Drosophila melanogaster: one gene and its partners. The gene in region 1 interacts genetically with each later gene. Each region holds a gene or a part of one and is shown in the gene's direction. Other genes may lie near its edges.

The links.
Region 2: of E2f1 (region 1) and Imp, changing one enhances a phenotype caused by changing the other (phenotypic enhancement), as found in Drosophila melanogaster (one study listed by BioGRID).
Region 3: of E2f1 (region 1) and bel, changing one suppresses a phenotype caused by changing the other (phenotypic suppression), as found in Drosophila melanogaster (2 studies listed by BioGRID).

The regions. Positions count from the first base shown.
Region 1 is NT_033777.3:21,630,072-21,634,895, reverse strand, and holds the start of E2f1 (E2F transcription factor 1), read left to right. Parts: upstream 1-1,822; 5' UTR 1,823-1,972; exon of another isoform or gene 1,973-2,763; intron 2,764-4,824. UniProt on the Drosophila melanogaster protein: Transcriptional activator that binds to E2f sites. Required for wild-type growth in mitotic and polytene tissues, Contributes to the expression of replication genes at the G1-S transition and Cyclin E.
Region 2 is NC_004354.4:10,821,237-10,826,064, reverse strand, and holds the start of Imp (IGF-II mRNA-binding protein), read left to right. Parts: upstream 1-1,787; 5' UTR 1,788-1,890; intron 1,891-3,278; exon of another isoform or gene 3,279-3,673; intron 3,674-4,247; exon of another isoform or gene 4,248-4,746; intron 4,747-4,828.
Region 3 is NT_033777.3:8,654,721-8,662,348, reverse strand, and holds bel (belle), read left to right. Parts: upstream 1-1,587; 5' UTR 1,588-2,341; coding exon 2,342-2,386; intron 2,387-3,961; coding exon 3,962-4,334; intron 4,335-4,505; coding exon 4,506-6,371; intron 6,372-6,442; coding exon 6,443-6,564; 3' UTR 6,565-7,374; downstream 7,375-7,628. Other genes in the region: p (pink), read left to right, coding at 1-1,263. UniProt on the Drosophila melanogaster protein: ATP-dependent RNA helicase that is essential and required for cellular function, larval growth, and for male and female fertility.

The DNA.
Region 1 (4,824 bases):
ATATGTGTTGGGCAAGGGATGGGAAGGGGGAAGGGGCAGGCGCAGGGGCCAAAGTTCTTCCTCTCTTTCTGCGTCCGTGAGGGGTGATTCTCGCCCCTCTTCTTCATATTCGTATTCTCATTCTTCTTCTTCTTCTTCTTGTCTGCCGGTCTGGCTTATGGGAAATGTGAAAAAAATCACACTCACGGATCTGTGAGTGTCCTCGCCTCAGCAACCCACCCAAGAGAAACCCAAAGGATAACAGCCTCGAATCCAAAAAAAAAAACTGCCTAAAAAGTTAATAGAAATCGAAAACTGGAAAGGAGATTACATTTCTGGTAGGAGGGGGGGGGGATGTTTCTCAGTTACTGGGCTTGGGATTATGGGAATGGGAAACACTGCGCAGATCGCCTGGCAAGTTGTACTGATTTGCGAGATACATTTGTGCACACAAAACCAGGAATGCAAATGGCAGCGGGCATGAGTTGTAAATATTTAATCAGATTGTTGTTAGAAAAAGTGACATGGTAGCGATTTTGGGATATTTATGAGTACAAACTTTGCATTATTCCAGAATGTATGAGTATTGTTTGTTTAGTAGAAAGTGCTTTTGCACTAAAGTAGATTAATAGTGGAATAACAAATAATATAAGAATGGAAAGTCAAATGTTTGAGCAGGTTTCTTTAATCAGGTCAGTTGCTCAGCAAATAGGTGAATTTTTACACTTCAGTTAGTATTTACTTAATTAAATACTAACTTTTCTCTATAAAGTTGCAAATCTTTAAGGTATATTATATGATTAAGCTGTGAGCTGTGAGATGAGCATACTTGGCTTTAATCTCAGGCATAATTTTTATGATACGTAGAAATTAATAGATTTGTGTGCGACAGTGTCGAGTTATGCGATAGACCCATTTAATGCCTATTTCCGGCCTTAAAAAGTGTACCCCTTGTTGATGGGGCGCTGAAAATCGGCAACGCTGCTGTGCTGCTGCAACTACAACAATGTCGTCACTGCAACGCAATGCAACACTTGGCACACAACTGATAAAGATAAAGAAGATGGTGAAGCGGTTGGTTGAGCGGGAGGGGAAAGGTTCTCTGCCGGCGTCGCTGTTGATGTGGGTGCGGTAACAGCGACGTCGCCACTTCCGTCTGAGCGATTTTTAGCCGATTTGTAGCCGGCAAGCCGAAGAGAGCGAAAAGGGTTGGGGGCCAAAAGCAAAAGCCGCTCTCACCGAACATTCGAGTCTGGCTTCCACATGCCACATGTGAAGAGTAGGAAGCGGCGCCACTCACATTCCACCCTCTTGCGCTTTCGCTTTCCGCCCCCTTCTCCACATTCGTTCTCTCTCGTGCTCAGCTGTTGCCGCTAATTCGCTGCAATTAGCGTGGTTCTCTTAGCTTCAAGCATTAGTTTTTATATCAACAGAATTTTAAAATTAAAAACTTCAAATAAAACTTGGACCAAAGATTTAATTAAAAGCTGATATTAGGTAAAATAATGTAGCATTTAAAAAACAATTCAGGAAGTGATTAACAGCGCTGTTATAGGTATTTAACTTCGCTTATAAATAATTATATTTTTCTTTTAACACTCAAATGTATTTATTCATTGCAAAATATTAATAACCCAAAATATTCGTTCCCTTTTGAATTGACAACCTATCGTAATATCGAATAGCTATCGTTTGATCAGTTTTGTCTCCACTCAATTTACGATCCACTCTCTTCTGCTCTCACTCTCTCGTGCCGCGAGCGCTCAGCTGCTGACGCCTCAAATTCGCCGCTACAAGAGACGCCGTGCGTTTTGTGGCTCGTTGCTTGTTCTGTCGATTCGCCGCGTTCAGTGTTGTTGTCGCGTCGTGACGCTGCTGTTGCCGCTGCCGCCCCCACACACATGTGCGAGCAGAAAACACGTTACGAGGGGAAAATCGACGGAAAAATCCGAAAAAAAATAGAAAAGCTAACTGAAAAGAGTACAAGACTGAGGTATTGATAAGTTAATGTGGTTTAATACACTAATTAAGCGTAAGTGGCCGGTATTAAAAGTGCCATTACGGTGGTGCTTACGTTTTCTCCGTCTGACGTAAGACGACTCCCTCTCTCGCTCTCTCTCTCTATCTCGTGTCTCTCCGATTCTCTTTCTCCGCGTGTGGATTGCGTTTTGCCGGCGACGGCGACTCCAAAAAAGACACGGCACAACACACTTTGTGGCCCAAGTTCAGTTCGCTTTTCGTCGCCAGTCCGCAAAAATGTGAAAATGGAAAACTGAGAGAAAAACCAAAAAGCCGCAAAAGACTGCCTCTGCAAGTAAAAGATTCAAGTCGCTGAGTAGCAATAGCAAATGCTCTAAAAAATCAAGAATAAAATAAAATAAAAGTGCGGGCGTGTAACAATTATGTGATATCTACAACAAATGCTCGAACTGCTGACGTCACGCACAGAATCGTAGAATATATAGAGAATAAAGAAGAGAAACGAAAACGTCGCGTAGTAAAGTTAAAAGTTCCCACACCACCGACGTACTCACACTCGCACACACACAGACTGAGTCAAACGAGTAAGAAGCAGCAGCACATTATACGTGGAATACAAAAAGTAACCGACAGAAAAGGCAAAACGCCCGCAAAAAAATGAAAAATTTGCAAATATGAAACGTGTGTGATATTCAAAAAGAGCAAGAAGAAGCAGGCGGCGGTGGAAAAAAAAGCAGAGCAATTTGTTGTGGTTGCGTGTGATATATAGAAAGCAAGTAAAACCAACAAAAATTCCATTTTTAGGTGCGTATTCAAACAAGACAAAAAAAAAGAAGCAAAGGGAGTTTCCACCTCACCTTTGATGATCAATTAATCATTCAATTTTGGGCTAAGCCCTCTAATAACCTCCAAAACCGATACGGTGAATAGCAGTCATTCGCTCACTCATTCAATCCCCCAACGCTCCAGTTTTCAGAGATAACGAATCGAAAATTCGGAGTCCATCAGTTTTTATTTCTATTTGCCCAAAGTCGGCGGCGATTTCTTTATGGCGCCCCCCAGATTAACATTTTACTAGATGTTAAGACAACAGTGCAGGTAACAGTTTGAAGAACTCGTGGTTTTTCTTCGAAGATATGGACAAAAATACATTTCAAGTTAAAATTAATTGTGTAAAACCGTCCAGCACAATATTAGCCAACTAACTGGCGTTTTTGTGTTGACGTGGATACTGAGGAATGCAAAATTAAAGCTGCACTGCAGTCATAAATATCAACTGAAATGTTCAATAGACATGTAATAATTAGGTAATGTGTTTGTTTTACAAATTAAAGTGATCTAAATGTTTTAAAATCTCAGATCATTTGTCTCTTTAATATTTTCTGTGGTCTTGAATTTGCCGGTTACTTCTACCAGTTTCGTCGGGTTAATTGGACTTGCATCAACAGTTTTCCGCTTTAATCTGTGCATGTACTTGACGACTGCACCACATAGTGTGTACATTATGTGTGGCCCCTGTTATCAGGCCTTGTGAGTACACAATATTCGATTGGCTCTAAATGCGTCATCGCGTAAATGGCCAGGCGAAATGAAGTTTTGTACATTATGTACAAAATTTTGGTGTATGAAACGCAAAGGGGACTTCCCTGGAATTCATTCTGCTTTCCTTGCCGGCATTGATATTCCACACCCACGCAATAATTTTTCCTTTCCCGGGCTTTCATTATGTTTGCAGTTTTCTGTGGGCGAAATATTTTGCGACGCATTTTGTGCGCCTCTCCCTGGACAAAAAGCCGCCTTCTCTTTTACTCGTTCTCTTTTTCTTGACTTGGCCAGTTGGCAATTATTTTTGGCTTTCTCAAACGAAAAAAGCTAAGGCGAGGCTTACAGCCGTTTTATTTTATATTACTATTACCTTATTTCATTTCTGTAAGTGTGCAATTAAGTGGCTGCCTTCTGTCTCGGTCCTTGCGGTTCATAAGAAAGAAGCCAAGTGTGTGTAATTGACCAAATGAAATAAAGATGATAGAGAAAATAAAACCGGCTAGAAAAAAGCATCCATGGGACCAACAACAACAAAAAGATGAAGAGAGATGTTCCATGTGGATTGTGTCTGTGAGTAACAGCTGTTATTCGGATTCAGGCCGGCTTTTACTCTCAGTCTCTTTTCCCTAGCAGCATCCCCCTCCAACACACACACACACCGTGGGAGACTCTCTCTTTCTCTCTCTGGACTGCCGCTTAATACACAAAATTCGTGTTCTTCCTCTTTTTCTGGCTTTTGATTCACTTTTTTCCCTCTATTGCAATTGTTGTTGCTTAACACCTTGCACACTCGCACATTATTTATTTGTATTTATTTCACTTGTCCCTGCCTTTTTACTGCGCATGCAAAATGATGTGCAAAAAGAAAGCGAAACTTTTTATTAGCTCTTGGTATCTGTGTGGGTGTTAGTGAGCATGCATGTACATACATATGTATGTTTTCGTGTGCTTGTGCTTATGCCTGTGTGTGCGTGAGTCTGCATACATAACAACGTATATAATTAATAGCCATGTAAATGCATGATCTTCATAATTAATAACGGTAAATTGGCATGCCAGAGGAATACAGTTATGGCTGCAAATTAAATACCAGCCATTAGTTGCATTCGAATTGGGATTTTAGCTAATATTTTATTAATTAGTGAATTGAGATTTCATGTCTGCAATTGGGCATATTTATTATTCGGGGGCAGACTAAATTTAAGTTATAAAGAGTAAAGATCCGTTAATTTAACAATCTTCACTACACCTTGCGGCCGGTTATTGTTGCTATACTAATTCGAAATTAACACGGAGAACGTGAGAGCAGAGTAGTGGCAG
Region 2 (4,828 bases), on another chromosome or scaffold:
CAATAAACAAGCAAGTTCCGTTAAGATTTCAAAGTACGCACTGACTTTCAACTTTCAACCAACCCCCACCACGCAGCACGCAGCACCCAGCCACCTTCCACTGGCGTTCGTCCTTGTCCCACGACGGGACAATGTGTGGAGAGGGGTGGAAGGGGGGGGGGGGGGGTGATGCCAGAATAGAGAGACACACAAGGGTTGCAATCTAATGAAATAATAATAATAAAAAAGTAAATAAAGCAAGGGGCGAAGTCAACGGAACGCAGCCAAATTCGATCCTCGACGTGTGGCGTGGGTGCAACAGAGATGGCAAGAGTGGCAAGCGCGTAACGGGACACCACCACCCAAAAGCTGGAAGACAGCGGACTGGAACGTTCTCTCCCCCAACCCCTTCCATGCCAAACCATTCCCGTGCCAACGCACTCGCGAAAATAATTGAATGTAATTTTAAATGATGTTTGTGATTATATTACAAATGAAAATTGGGTTTCTTAGAAACATTCGAAAAGTATTAAAAAAGAGAATGATGATCTGCTTGTTTAGCCCCATCTCAAAATCGCTTCATTTCCTGCTTAGAAGGTATCTAATAGTCGCGACACTCGACCATTTTCATTTACTGTGCACTAAATACCATAGAATCCAAGCCAATGCGATCCCAACCATCCCAAATCGAAATGGAAAATCGCAGCATGGCAACGCACAGGACGCACACACAAAAATGCGTCGCAGTTGCCGCTGGGGGTGGGTGGTGGCTCTTCCTTTCCCATTTCCATTCCCTTTCCCTGCGCCTTTCCCTTTACCATTAGCGTTAAACCCTCCCAGCTCGTATCCTCGTCCCTTTTTTTTGGACTAGGCTAGGGCTAGAGCCCAGACTGAGAGTTCAGAACTCACAGCCAGCCGGCTGTAAACATTCCTGACAGACGCAGGAACGCAGCAACGCATCGCAACCACACAGCGCACATTCAGCAACAGCGATGGTGGTGGTGGCAAGCAAATTATGAGATTTTCAGGGGTTCAACAGCCTCCTAGAAATGTACGGGACAACTAAAGTATTCCATCAATGCATTGAAAGAATTCTTCAAGTCTGCCATCAGAGCTATATCTATACAATGGTACTACAAAATAGATCCCTAAGTATATGCTAATATAGATAGTCAGAGGTAGAAAGATGTATATCCTTGAAAGATCTATCTAAATGATTGTTGTATCTTAACAAATATGGCTTGAAGTTAAAGAACTTAACAGTTCGTTCGCCTTACTTCTGCACTCCGTAATCTTCTAGTTTAAGCTTAAAGTTGCAGCTCAGCATTGAGATCTTGGATGGAAAGTGCATGGGCATGGGCCTGGAACCACTGCCATTGTGCACCCATGTCCAGGGGCGTAGGGCCACATCCTCGACCTTGTCCTTGTCCCGTATTTTGGGGTTGAAAAACTACGCAAGTTTCGCTCGAAATTCGAAAACGGGACGCAATCGCTTAGTGTGTGCGTGCGATATGGTATGGGTGTAGACTCTCTGTGTGTGTGTGTGTGTGTGTGTGTGGGCTGAGTTGGGTTGGTAACAGTCGGATATATATGTACATACTTATATATATTTTATGTTTGTTGCTGCTCTGGGGTGCGCATCAGATTTAGCTGAACGAAGGAAGGAAGCATCGACAAAAAAGAGGAACGGGAAAATGTAGGAGAGCAGGAAGTAGAAATTTCGTTGGCAGCAAGGTCAGCGAGAGAGGGAGATGGCAGGAGTGAGGGAAACAGAGATGGAGAAGGCACAGTCTTAGATCGAAACACGATTGTGAGCTGCAGACTTTTCCAAGTCCCCGGAATCGCTATTCGCAGCTCACTTCCCTCGTGTTAACCTCATTGCGTCCAATCTAGTTGGAAAATCCCGTTGAGGTATCAAGTACTGTTTATAGAAATGTATCTTTCATAACACTATCATAACAATTGAATACTACACTCTCTAACTCGTCGTTCGAAAACAAACTTATGATTATAAAGGCCATAGTAACAAAGAAGCCGCAACGCAAGTCGTAAAATGCATTGCATACTTTCTGGAGTCGAAAAGTGCCACAATTAATATATGCAATCTAAACAATGGGATTGGGAAAAGAAAATAATTTATATAATTCTATTATAAGCCAAAATAATAGCTTTATTGATATCTATGCATAATCGCAATTTACAAATGCCAATAACTTGGCTCACAAGTGGCAATCGTGAGTGGAATCGAATTCACAATTTCCCCGAAAGACATTTTCCGTTCTCTTGTTTTCCTCATGTCTTAAAATTATAGTCTTGCCTTTTGTCAAGCAGCTGTGGCAGTTTGAATTTTCCTGACATTTTCACGAGCCAGTAGACAAAACAGACGGGGCGATAAAAGGGCGCAAAGGAGAGCGAAGAGGAGCGGAGAAGAGAGAAAAGTGGAGAGAAGAGCGATGAGCGAAGAGAGAGCGGGAAAAACGCTGGCGTCTCTGCTCGGGCCACCCTTGTTTTCAGAGTTTTTCCCCGAGTTTTCCGCTTGGTACTATGAGTTTTCGCTTTTCACATTTCACACTCACCCCCGTCGCAGCTGCGTCGACGTCAACGTCAGCGTCAGCGTCGACAGCGCTGCCAACAGCTAGCCGGTCCAAGCCAATCAGATGGAAAATATTCGTTTATCCGTTGCGTTTTTCGATGTTTTTCCTTTTTGGGTCGGGAAAACCTTTTGCATAGGGCGACCAGCAGTGCAAAGTACAGGTCCAACAGCTGGCACAGTGATCACCAGATGAAATAGAACAGATCAACAGAAATCATCGATCATTAAATCGGAATAGAAATGAAATTAGAAGTTAGCTATATAAATATGTAACGTATCTAAGCAAGGCCTAAAATGTATGTTAAATATATTTTGATTACCTATAGTAACTTAATAATACATTTGGCAATGTATACTGGCATAAATTAATAGTTAGCTTATTCGATTTCTTAACCTTAGATCATTTATAGTGGTCGCCGACTTTTTAGAGTGAGTGTGGTGTAAGCCGGCTGCTGCCCTTTAAAGCGGATAATGTGTATAGACGCTTGCACACAGATACAGATACGAGTACAGACACAGATACAGATACAAATATGCCAAGGAGCAGGGTCAGCCATTTTGGTTTACAACTTTCACTGTTTTGGATGGGTGGGAAAATGCGACGCCAACGCCAACGCCGCTGCTACAGCGCCGCGGCAGAGGTCCTGAGAGCAGAGCAGAGCTGAACAGAGTTTTCCTCGCATTTTCATCGGGCGCTGAGCAGACACCTTGGAAATTGGGATCCGTATATCCGGCAGGCAGGCAGTTCACTCGTCGCCGTTGCGTCAGTTCGTTCGACTCTCGACTCTCAGCTCACAGTTCGCAGTTAAATAGTTAATAGTCAATAGCTCACGCCGAACAGCTATCGAGATATTAGTGTTTTGGATTCAGATTCAGATTCAGATTCAGATACGGATACGGATTCAAACGGCGCCGCCATTTGTGATTTTTGTTGTTTTTTCTTGTATGAGCAAAAAGTGACAAAGCACAAAAAAAAAGAAAAAAAAAGATAAAAACCAGTGAAAAGCCAAAGGAAAAGCGCAAAGAAAAGTGAAAAATCATCATAAAATAACAAACAAAAATTCGACGAGAATTCTTGAGGTTTACCAAATACACCAAAGTGTAAGTGTAAGAAAGAGAAAGGAGATACCAACCAAGCCATAGAGAGAGAAGGTGAGGGAGAGAGAGAGTAAGGGAGTGGGAATAGGAGGGAGTGTTTTTCCAGCCTTGCTTTGTACGCACTCACTCACGCATCTGCTGCCGTCTCGCTCGCACCCACACAATCCAACGCCCACCCACGGCAACCCACACACAGAGTTGTCACCTACACAAAAATCAATAACGAAACCCAATAAAATAAAATCCACAACGACAGCGAAAACAAGCCCAAAAAGAAAATGTTACTTCCTGTCTAAATCAATCAATGGAAAAATCAATTGCGAACTCATTAAGGATGCTAGATTTTGATTCCAAGTAATTCTTATGGCATTTGAAAACTAGCTATAGATTGCATAAAAACTAGATTTCTTAGGGATTAACTATAATTTTCTTTTAATGCTTTAGGCTATGGACGGTAATAGGTTATGTAGAAAGTATTGTAGTATTGCAAATATAACCCATTATTGAATATCCCAAATCACACACACCATTGGCTTTGCTGTCAATCGCAAATGTCTAAAAGCCCCATACAAATTTCACTTTTCCCACTATTCAGTTTCAAATTTTTTCTCGCTCAATATAAAAAAAAAATCAAAAATTTACCCAAAATCAAAAATATACACTCACACAGTCCATAACAAGACAAGACACCGGAAAACAACAGGCAACACACCCATATTAAAGCCAAAAAAAAAGGAATCTAAGAAAGGCCAAAGGAAAGGCGAAAGACCAGACAATTTTGTTTAAACTACGTACTAGGTAGAGATATTTATAATCTGGAGAATTCCGATCAATTGGAATATTGTAGCCCAGAGAATATCGATCCTCTCGAGAAAAATTCACCGACCTCACTTTCCAATTCTAAAGCCTGAAATCTTGATGTTGAACCCACACAATTGGCAACTTAATTGAATCAAGAGCCTGCAAAGGACTGAGATCTCTGGAGCAAGAATCAGGCACCTTTATCTCAAGCAATTTCAACAGACATCCTATCCAAATCTCGAGAATAAGCAGTGCACTTGCGTCCCATTGAAAGTGTAAGTATCCTTTTCTGTCAGGATATTGAAACGGGTCCTCGAAAAATGTTACCTTGCTATAGTTCCGTAACGAACTCAATAT
Region 3 (7,628 bases), about 13 Mb from region 1:
GATATATCCGTGATATTTGATGCCATAACTCAGTGCACAGGCAGTGCTTTGGATACGCACAGCTCGGGAGGCAGTTCAGCCACCACTGAACGCAGTTTGAGCGGCGGAAGTTCATCGAGAGCTCCGCCGAAGGGAGTGTACGTGCTGGAAAACGCATTCTGCGACAACTTGAAGCAGCCTCTCAAAACGGGACACTTCAAGGATGCGCTGCTGACGGTAACTGGTAAATTCGGCAAGAACATCATAAAATACAAGTTCAATATTTTTGCCGAGGAACAGCAGCAGTTGGTCAGGGAACTAATTCCAGCCAGCGAGCGTTCTCTGCCGTTCAAGGACATCAAAGCACGCTACGAGTCGGGAAGCGAGGATCAGGAGGAGGAAATTGTTAGGCGCTGTAAGAAACCGGCTCCCCAGGTTCCCCACATCAGTCCCGAGGAGAAGACTCTTTACAACCTCTACCTGATCGCCAAGAGCGCCAAGTTTAGCCGGACGCAGTGCGTCGATCGTTATCGCGCTGTCTTCGACGAGTATGCAGCTGGCGAGCTGGTGAATCTGCTCGAGAAACTAGCCCAGGTGATGGTAGAGCATGGGGATACGCCTGACCAAGCGCAACGCAATTGCTACGAGATGTATTTCGATTACCTGGATCCGGAGATGATCTGGGAAGTGGACGACGCTACGCGGGATCACATAGCTGCCGGATTTGTGCTGCTAAATACTTCGCAAAATGCGGAGATTGTCAAGTGTGAGCATTGCTCGTTCCCCCTTCGCTTCGATACCTCCTGCCAGTATCATGAGCTTGGAGCAGTGCTCCTGCGATACTTCTGGTCCCGTGGCGAGCAACTGAAGTGCTTTGATGTTGTTCAATCAGTGCCGGCACTATTAGACGTCTTAGCTAAATTTTACCTAGCCGAACAGAATCTCACCAAAGTGGTGGCCATCGTCCTCAACTACGGACTCCCCGAACTTCTGGCTGACGTGGGCAAACAACTGAGCGTGAGCGCATGGGGCCGCTGCTTCGAACAGTTCGTGGAACTGCAACGCGGCGGACGACTGGTGTGCGCCAACTGCGAGTGCATATCTGGCGTGGAACAGGAACAGTTGGGACGCCACTTCTTCTACAACTGGAACTGTTTCCTCAACATCGCTCTGGATCACATGTCCGCCGGGGACACGCTGGCGCTGATCTTCAAGTGGAGCTCATACATTCCAAACGACGCTATCGACCGGGAGTTCTACTCCCGCTGCCTGCTCAAGGGCTGAACGATATGAAAATTATTATTATATACATATATACGATACTTTATAGCCATATTTATTGTTCCACTAACTAATCTCAAGCTAAGGCCAATACCAAAAGCATTTATTCTATATAAACATGTACATTCACAATATGTATATTCTGAAGACGAAAGTGAATGAATATATTCCAGAGTTCGAAACTTCGAATTTTAGTTTTCTTTAACAGACTTGGAGGGAACTTGAGTATGGAATTGTTTGGAAATTTTTAATACCTATTTTACGGCAATCACATATATATACTAAATTTCAAATTTAATTTGAATTTCTTTGACTTTTGCTTCAAATAACGAAATGGGGTACAGCGGCTGACGCCTTATAAACAACTATTCCTAAACATAAACACAAACATTTTTGGCCTTTAAGAAACAAAATTTAACTGCCCAGCCTCATTTCTCTTCCATTCAAAAAACAACAACAGCCTAGAAGGGATCGACGCGCCGAAAAAGCAAAAGTGAAAAAATTCAATTTGAATTTCATAGACCGCGAGACGAGGATATAGATCTGGCAACGCCCTTGCCGGAGTCTTTGCCAGTAACCGCCGCCGAGAGCCCAGGTTGGAGTCTCTGCTCTACCTCCACCGACCGCATCTATCGATTCCTCATCGATATACGTGCTAAAGCAGCCCTGATTTTTTAGACACGCGTCTGAAAGCGGAAAAAAACGTGAACTCGTCGGAGAAGCAGCATTTTCCAAGCCCATAGCGCTTGTAATTGTAATTGTTGGCACAAGCAGGCCAGCCAAATCCGATACGGAAACGTCTCAGTTTCAAGCCGAACAAAGGGAATTGTGTGCGAGGAACGAAAAGAACCCTGAAATTTCACACGAGAACGCAGTAGCTTGTGGAACGTAAGAAGTTTTTTGTCGGAAAAACTAAGGAAAAACGTATAGACACAAAGTGCAACACCAACACAACGATCGTATACATTTTTTTGTCGCAAATTGCAAGTGTGCATTCAAAAAAAAAAATTCAAAGCGTAACCATTGCAAAATTTTCCTAAACGGAAAGCAAGAAAAAAAAAGCAACTGATTGGAGGATAATATGAGTAATGCTATTAACCAAAATGGCACAGGTCTAGAGCAGCAAGTAAGTAGCGTTTTTAACTGCTGAAAATACCATTTACCATCTATATAAGAATGGAACACGCATGTGTATGCGGTGGCTGTGTGTGTGTGTTCGTGATGCTCATGCGGCTATTTGAAAAAGTTCGCCTAGAAATTTATTGATTTCATAACACACTAATGTCTCTATCGCTCGTTTTACAACGGTGAATTGTGTCGGTGTCAATGGCTTGCATATATGTGCGTGTGTGTGTGCGCCTGGGTCCCTCTTCGTCATTCCAATTTGTAATTTCTTTTGTATAATTTTTGCTCGCTTGCCTCCAATTTGACATGTATAATATATACATATGAAAGTTTCCATTCGGCCTCTCACGTTGAGTGTGTCGTGTGTGCGAGCAGTGCCGCTGTTCTAAGGCTGGTCGTGTGTGTGTGTTATATCTCGCTCTCTCTCGCTTGCTCACACATGTGGAAGCTGTTGTAAATAGGGTTGCCAGGAGTAAGCGATCTGGTGATTAATTTCAAGGGTGATTTGGCAAAAAAAAATGGAAGAAAAGCAAAGCATGTAATCTACATACACTATTTTAACAAGCCTTTGTTAGGTCCTTAAAAAGAATTAAACTTTATTAGAGATGTGAAATAAACAAACGTTAATGCTTTCAAATGGAAATAGTTTAGTTAAATACTACTATTTCTGTATGCCTCAAATGCACGCAATGAATCTAGCAACGATCTAGCCGTTAAGTGACGCCCCACAAAATCTGCGAATTACATATTTAGCTGCCTTTGTTAATTAATATAAATGAAGAAGGCAAAATATTGAATATTACAAGATATACGGGAATAATAATCATTGTATACATTTAAACTAGTTCTTGAAAGAGTTCCCTTGCTTTCATCACCATTCTGTCCACTTGGGTCCCGCAACCGGGCTTTGTGTTTTGCCCCTACGGTGCGATTTGTTTTCCCATGTGTGGGTGGCTCGTTCACGTGTTGTTTTTGTTGGGTTACCAGGCGGACTCTCTTTGTGTAATAGCTTGCCTGCGAGTGCGAGAGAGACGCTTACAGGGAGAGCACTAAATTCGAAGCTTTAAACTAGTTGCGCCTCTCTCTATCTGTGTATTCCGGAGATTTGCACGTACATACATATGTATCTATGTATATATACACGTTGCGTTGCTAAGAGGAAGAGCGGTAAATAGCACATGTTGCTAAGCGGGAACGAATTCATTTTGGCAGTTCTGGAGAAAATTTCCCCGGCGAATCTTTTGCCAAACTGTTGAACTTGATTCTTGAACTGGTGCCGGCTAACTTACAGGCAACATATGTTAATTGGCCATGTGTACTATAAATCAATTGTATTAGTGGAGCAAAGATTATTTGTGTAGCTTAGTTTTGCATTGCTGGTATAGATCTTATCATTAAATGCACTGTGTTCCCGTAAACTTGGTATATAACAAAGAAAAGTAATCTTAAACCAATGATTAAGTACAAAAAAAATAGAACAAAACCTATAATTTAAGTGTTAGGAAACCACATTTGATGCCACATTTTTTGCACAAGTTCTGAAGAAGACTAACCATTTAATCTTTATCACTTGCAGGTTGCTGGTCTGGACTTGAATGGCGGCTCTGCTGACTACAGCGGCCCCATAACCAGCAAGACTTCCACTAACTCGGTCACCGGTGGTGTGTATGTGCCCCCGCACCTTCGTGGTGGTGGTGGCAATAACAACGCAGCGGACGCAGAGAGCCAGGGCCAAGGACAGGGCCAGGGTCAGGGCTTCGACTCCAGATCCGGGAATCCGCGCCAGGAGACTAGGGACCCTCAACAGTCGCGCGGAGGCGGAGGCGAATACCGCAGAGGCGGCGGCGGTGGTGGTCGCGGCTTCAATCGCCAGAGCGGCGACTACGGTTACGGAAGCGGCGGCGGAGGACGACGTGGAGGCGGTGGACGTTTCGAGGACAACTACAACGGTGGGTACTATTGGCTAACAGGTGGTCTATTCACTATCAAGAAGCACAAGGACATTTAATTAATTTTTACAGCTCCATAATGTAATGATCCTTAAAATCGTAATGCGTACGACTTATACTTGGTCCTCTAATATGCCCATATTATTAGAGAAAATGTAATTACTTTTGCAGGTGGTGAATTCGATTCGCGTCGCGGCGGTGACTGGAATCGCAGCGGCGGAGGCGGCGGAGGAGGTCGAGGATTTGGACGCGGACCATCGTACCGCGGCGGTGGCGGCGGAAGCGGTAGCAACCTCAACGAGCAGACTGCCGAGGATGGCCAGGCACAGCAGCAGCAGCAGCCGCGCAACGATCGTTGGCAGGAGCCAGAACGTCCTGCCGGATTCGATGGCAGCGAGGGCGGACAGTCTGCCGGCGGCAACAGAAGCTACAACAATCGCGGCGAGCGCGGAGGCGGCGGTTACAACAGCCGCTGGAAGGAGGGCGGCGGCTCAAACGTCGACTACACAAAGCTGGGCGCCCGAGATGAGCGCCTGGAGGTGGAGCTGTTCGGCGTGGGCAATACGGGAATCAATTTTGACAAATACGAGGATATACCCGTGGAGGCGACGGGCCAGAATGTGCCCCCGAACATCACATCGTTCGATGATGTGCAGCTGACGGAGATTATCCGCAACAACGTGGCCTTAGCACGTTATGACAAACCGACACCGGTGCAGAAGCACGCCATTCCGATCATTATCAATGGCCGGGATCTAATGGCCTGCGCCCAGACTGGATCCGGCAAGACGGCCGCCTTCCTGGTGCCGATTCTCAACCAGATGTACGAGCTGGGACATGTGCCCCCGCCGCAAAGCACCCGGCAGTACAGCCGGCGCAAGCAGTATCCGTTGGGTCTGGTGCTGGCGCCGACCCGCGAACTGGCCACCCAGATCTTTGAGGAGGCCAAGAAGTTCGCCTATCGCTCCCGGATGCGCCCGGCAGTGCTGTACGGCGGAAACAATACTAGCGAGCAGATGCGCGAGCTGGACCGCGGTTGCCATCTGATTGTGGCCACACCCGGTCGCCTAGAGGACATGATCACACGCGGAAAGGTGGGACTGGAGAACATTCGATTCCTTGTACTGGATGAGGCTGATCGTATGTTGGACATGGGTTTCGAGCCGCAGATCCGTCGCATCGTCGAACAGCTAAACATGCCGCCAACCGGACAGCGCCAGACGCTTATGTTCTCGGCCACATTCCCCAAGCAGATCCAGGAGTTAGCCAGCGATTTCCTCAGCAACTACATTTTCTTGGCCGTTGGTCGTGTGGGCTCCACATCTGAGAACATTACGCAGACAATCCTGTGGGTCTATGAACCCGACAAGCGCTCGTATCTGCTGGATCTGCTCTCGTCTATCCGCGATGGCCCCGAATACACCAAAGACAGCCTAACACTGATCTTTGTGGAGACTAAGAAGGGTGCAGACTCGCTGGAGGAGTTCCTGTACCAGTGCAATCATCCCGTCACTAGCATCCACGGTGATCGCACGCAGAAGGAGCGCGAGGAGGCACTGCGCTGCTTCCGATCGGGCGACTGCCCCATCCTGGTGGCCACAGCCGTGGCCGCTCGTGGCCTGGACATTCCGCACGTTAAGCACGTTATTAACTTTGACCTGCCCTCGGATGTGGAGGAGTATGTCCACCGTATCGGGCGTACCGGACGTATGGGTAATCTTGGTGTGGCCACCTCCTTTTTCAACGAAAAGAACCGCAACATTTGCTCCGATCTCTTGGAGCTGCTGATCGAAACGAAGCAGGAGATCCCCAGTTTCATGGAGGATATGAGTTCGGATCGCGGACATGGCGGAGCCAAGCGGGCTGGACGAGGCGGTGGTGGACGTTATGGTGGCGGCTTCGGCTCCAGGGATTACCGTCAAAGCTCTGGCGGCGGCGGTGGCGGACGCAGTGGACCGCCACCACGTAGCGGTGGTTCCGGATCAGGAGGCGGCGGCGGCAGTTACCGCAGCAATGGAAACTCGTACGGTAAGTTTGGTGAGTGTGGAATCATCCATCAGCAGTAATCAGTTTAAAGGCAGAAACTTAACAGTGGATTTCCTTTACAGGCGGCAATTCGGGCGGCGGTGGATACTATGGCGGCGGCGCCGGTGGTGGCTCCTATGGCGGCTCCTACGGCGGCGGCAGTGCCTCGCACTCTTCGAACGCACCCGACTGGTGGGCTCAATGAGCAAGGCCTCAGCTTCAGGCAAAGGACCTGGGCCAGCAGCAGCAGCAGCATCAGCAGTCGCATCGTAGCCACTTTCGCAAATAACCAAACGGAGTAAAACAAAGTCGATAACAACTATATATGTGTACACACGTATACTATATAGGAACAGCAAATGTGAAAGAGAAACTGTCTGTGCGCAGCGCAACACAAATCACGAAAATACAGAAAAGATACACAGATGCACCCTCCACCCCACCCTCGTTTAGCAATTCACTCCTCTCTCACAACCTCAAAAACCAGGAGCAAGCGTTAATAATAAACTGTGCAAGTCCATCGCGAAAGTATATTACATTCATGTATAGCCAGCCCAAGCCGCCCTCCATTTCCATCTCACCCATCATTATATTTTATGAATTCGATGCGCGTAGTTGAAGGATATGCAAGCAAACACATACATATTTAAAATATGCTAAACAACCACAAATATTAAGAATATTTAAGCAAATGATAAAATTTTTGAATTTTTGTCCATAAGTTACAATTCTCACACATCATTTTTCTTGGAACTCTTAATATACATATATATATATATATATATATGTATTCTTATATATATATATATATATATCTAGACATAAATATTGTCAATGTCGGATCGAAACGATGAAAGCGCAAATCCTTGAACTTCAATTGATGATTTTAAACGAAGAAAACATAAAAATAGTAATGGTATATATATTATTAAATATATAGATCGAGATAGAATGTACTATATGAAACAAGAAACCAACACAAACAAGTAATTAAAACAAAAAAAAAACAAGTTTGCTAAACTAAAGCTTAATAATTTAGCAAATGAGAAAAAGAACTCGCATGGTTGTTTTTAATTTTTTCTGCATTTGGTGTAACAGGTGATTTTTTTGGGATTGGCAGATCGTGTCCGATAACGCTGTAAAGCACCAACGTTTACTAATTCCTTGGCGCCCTATTATCTTTTCATAAATATGTTCAATTAAGATTTATTTACTTACTGATATCACTTTTTGAGTTAGCTCCATTGATAAGAATTGGCAAGTTGCCTG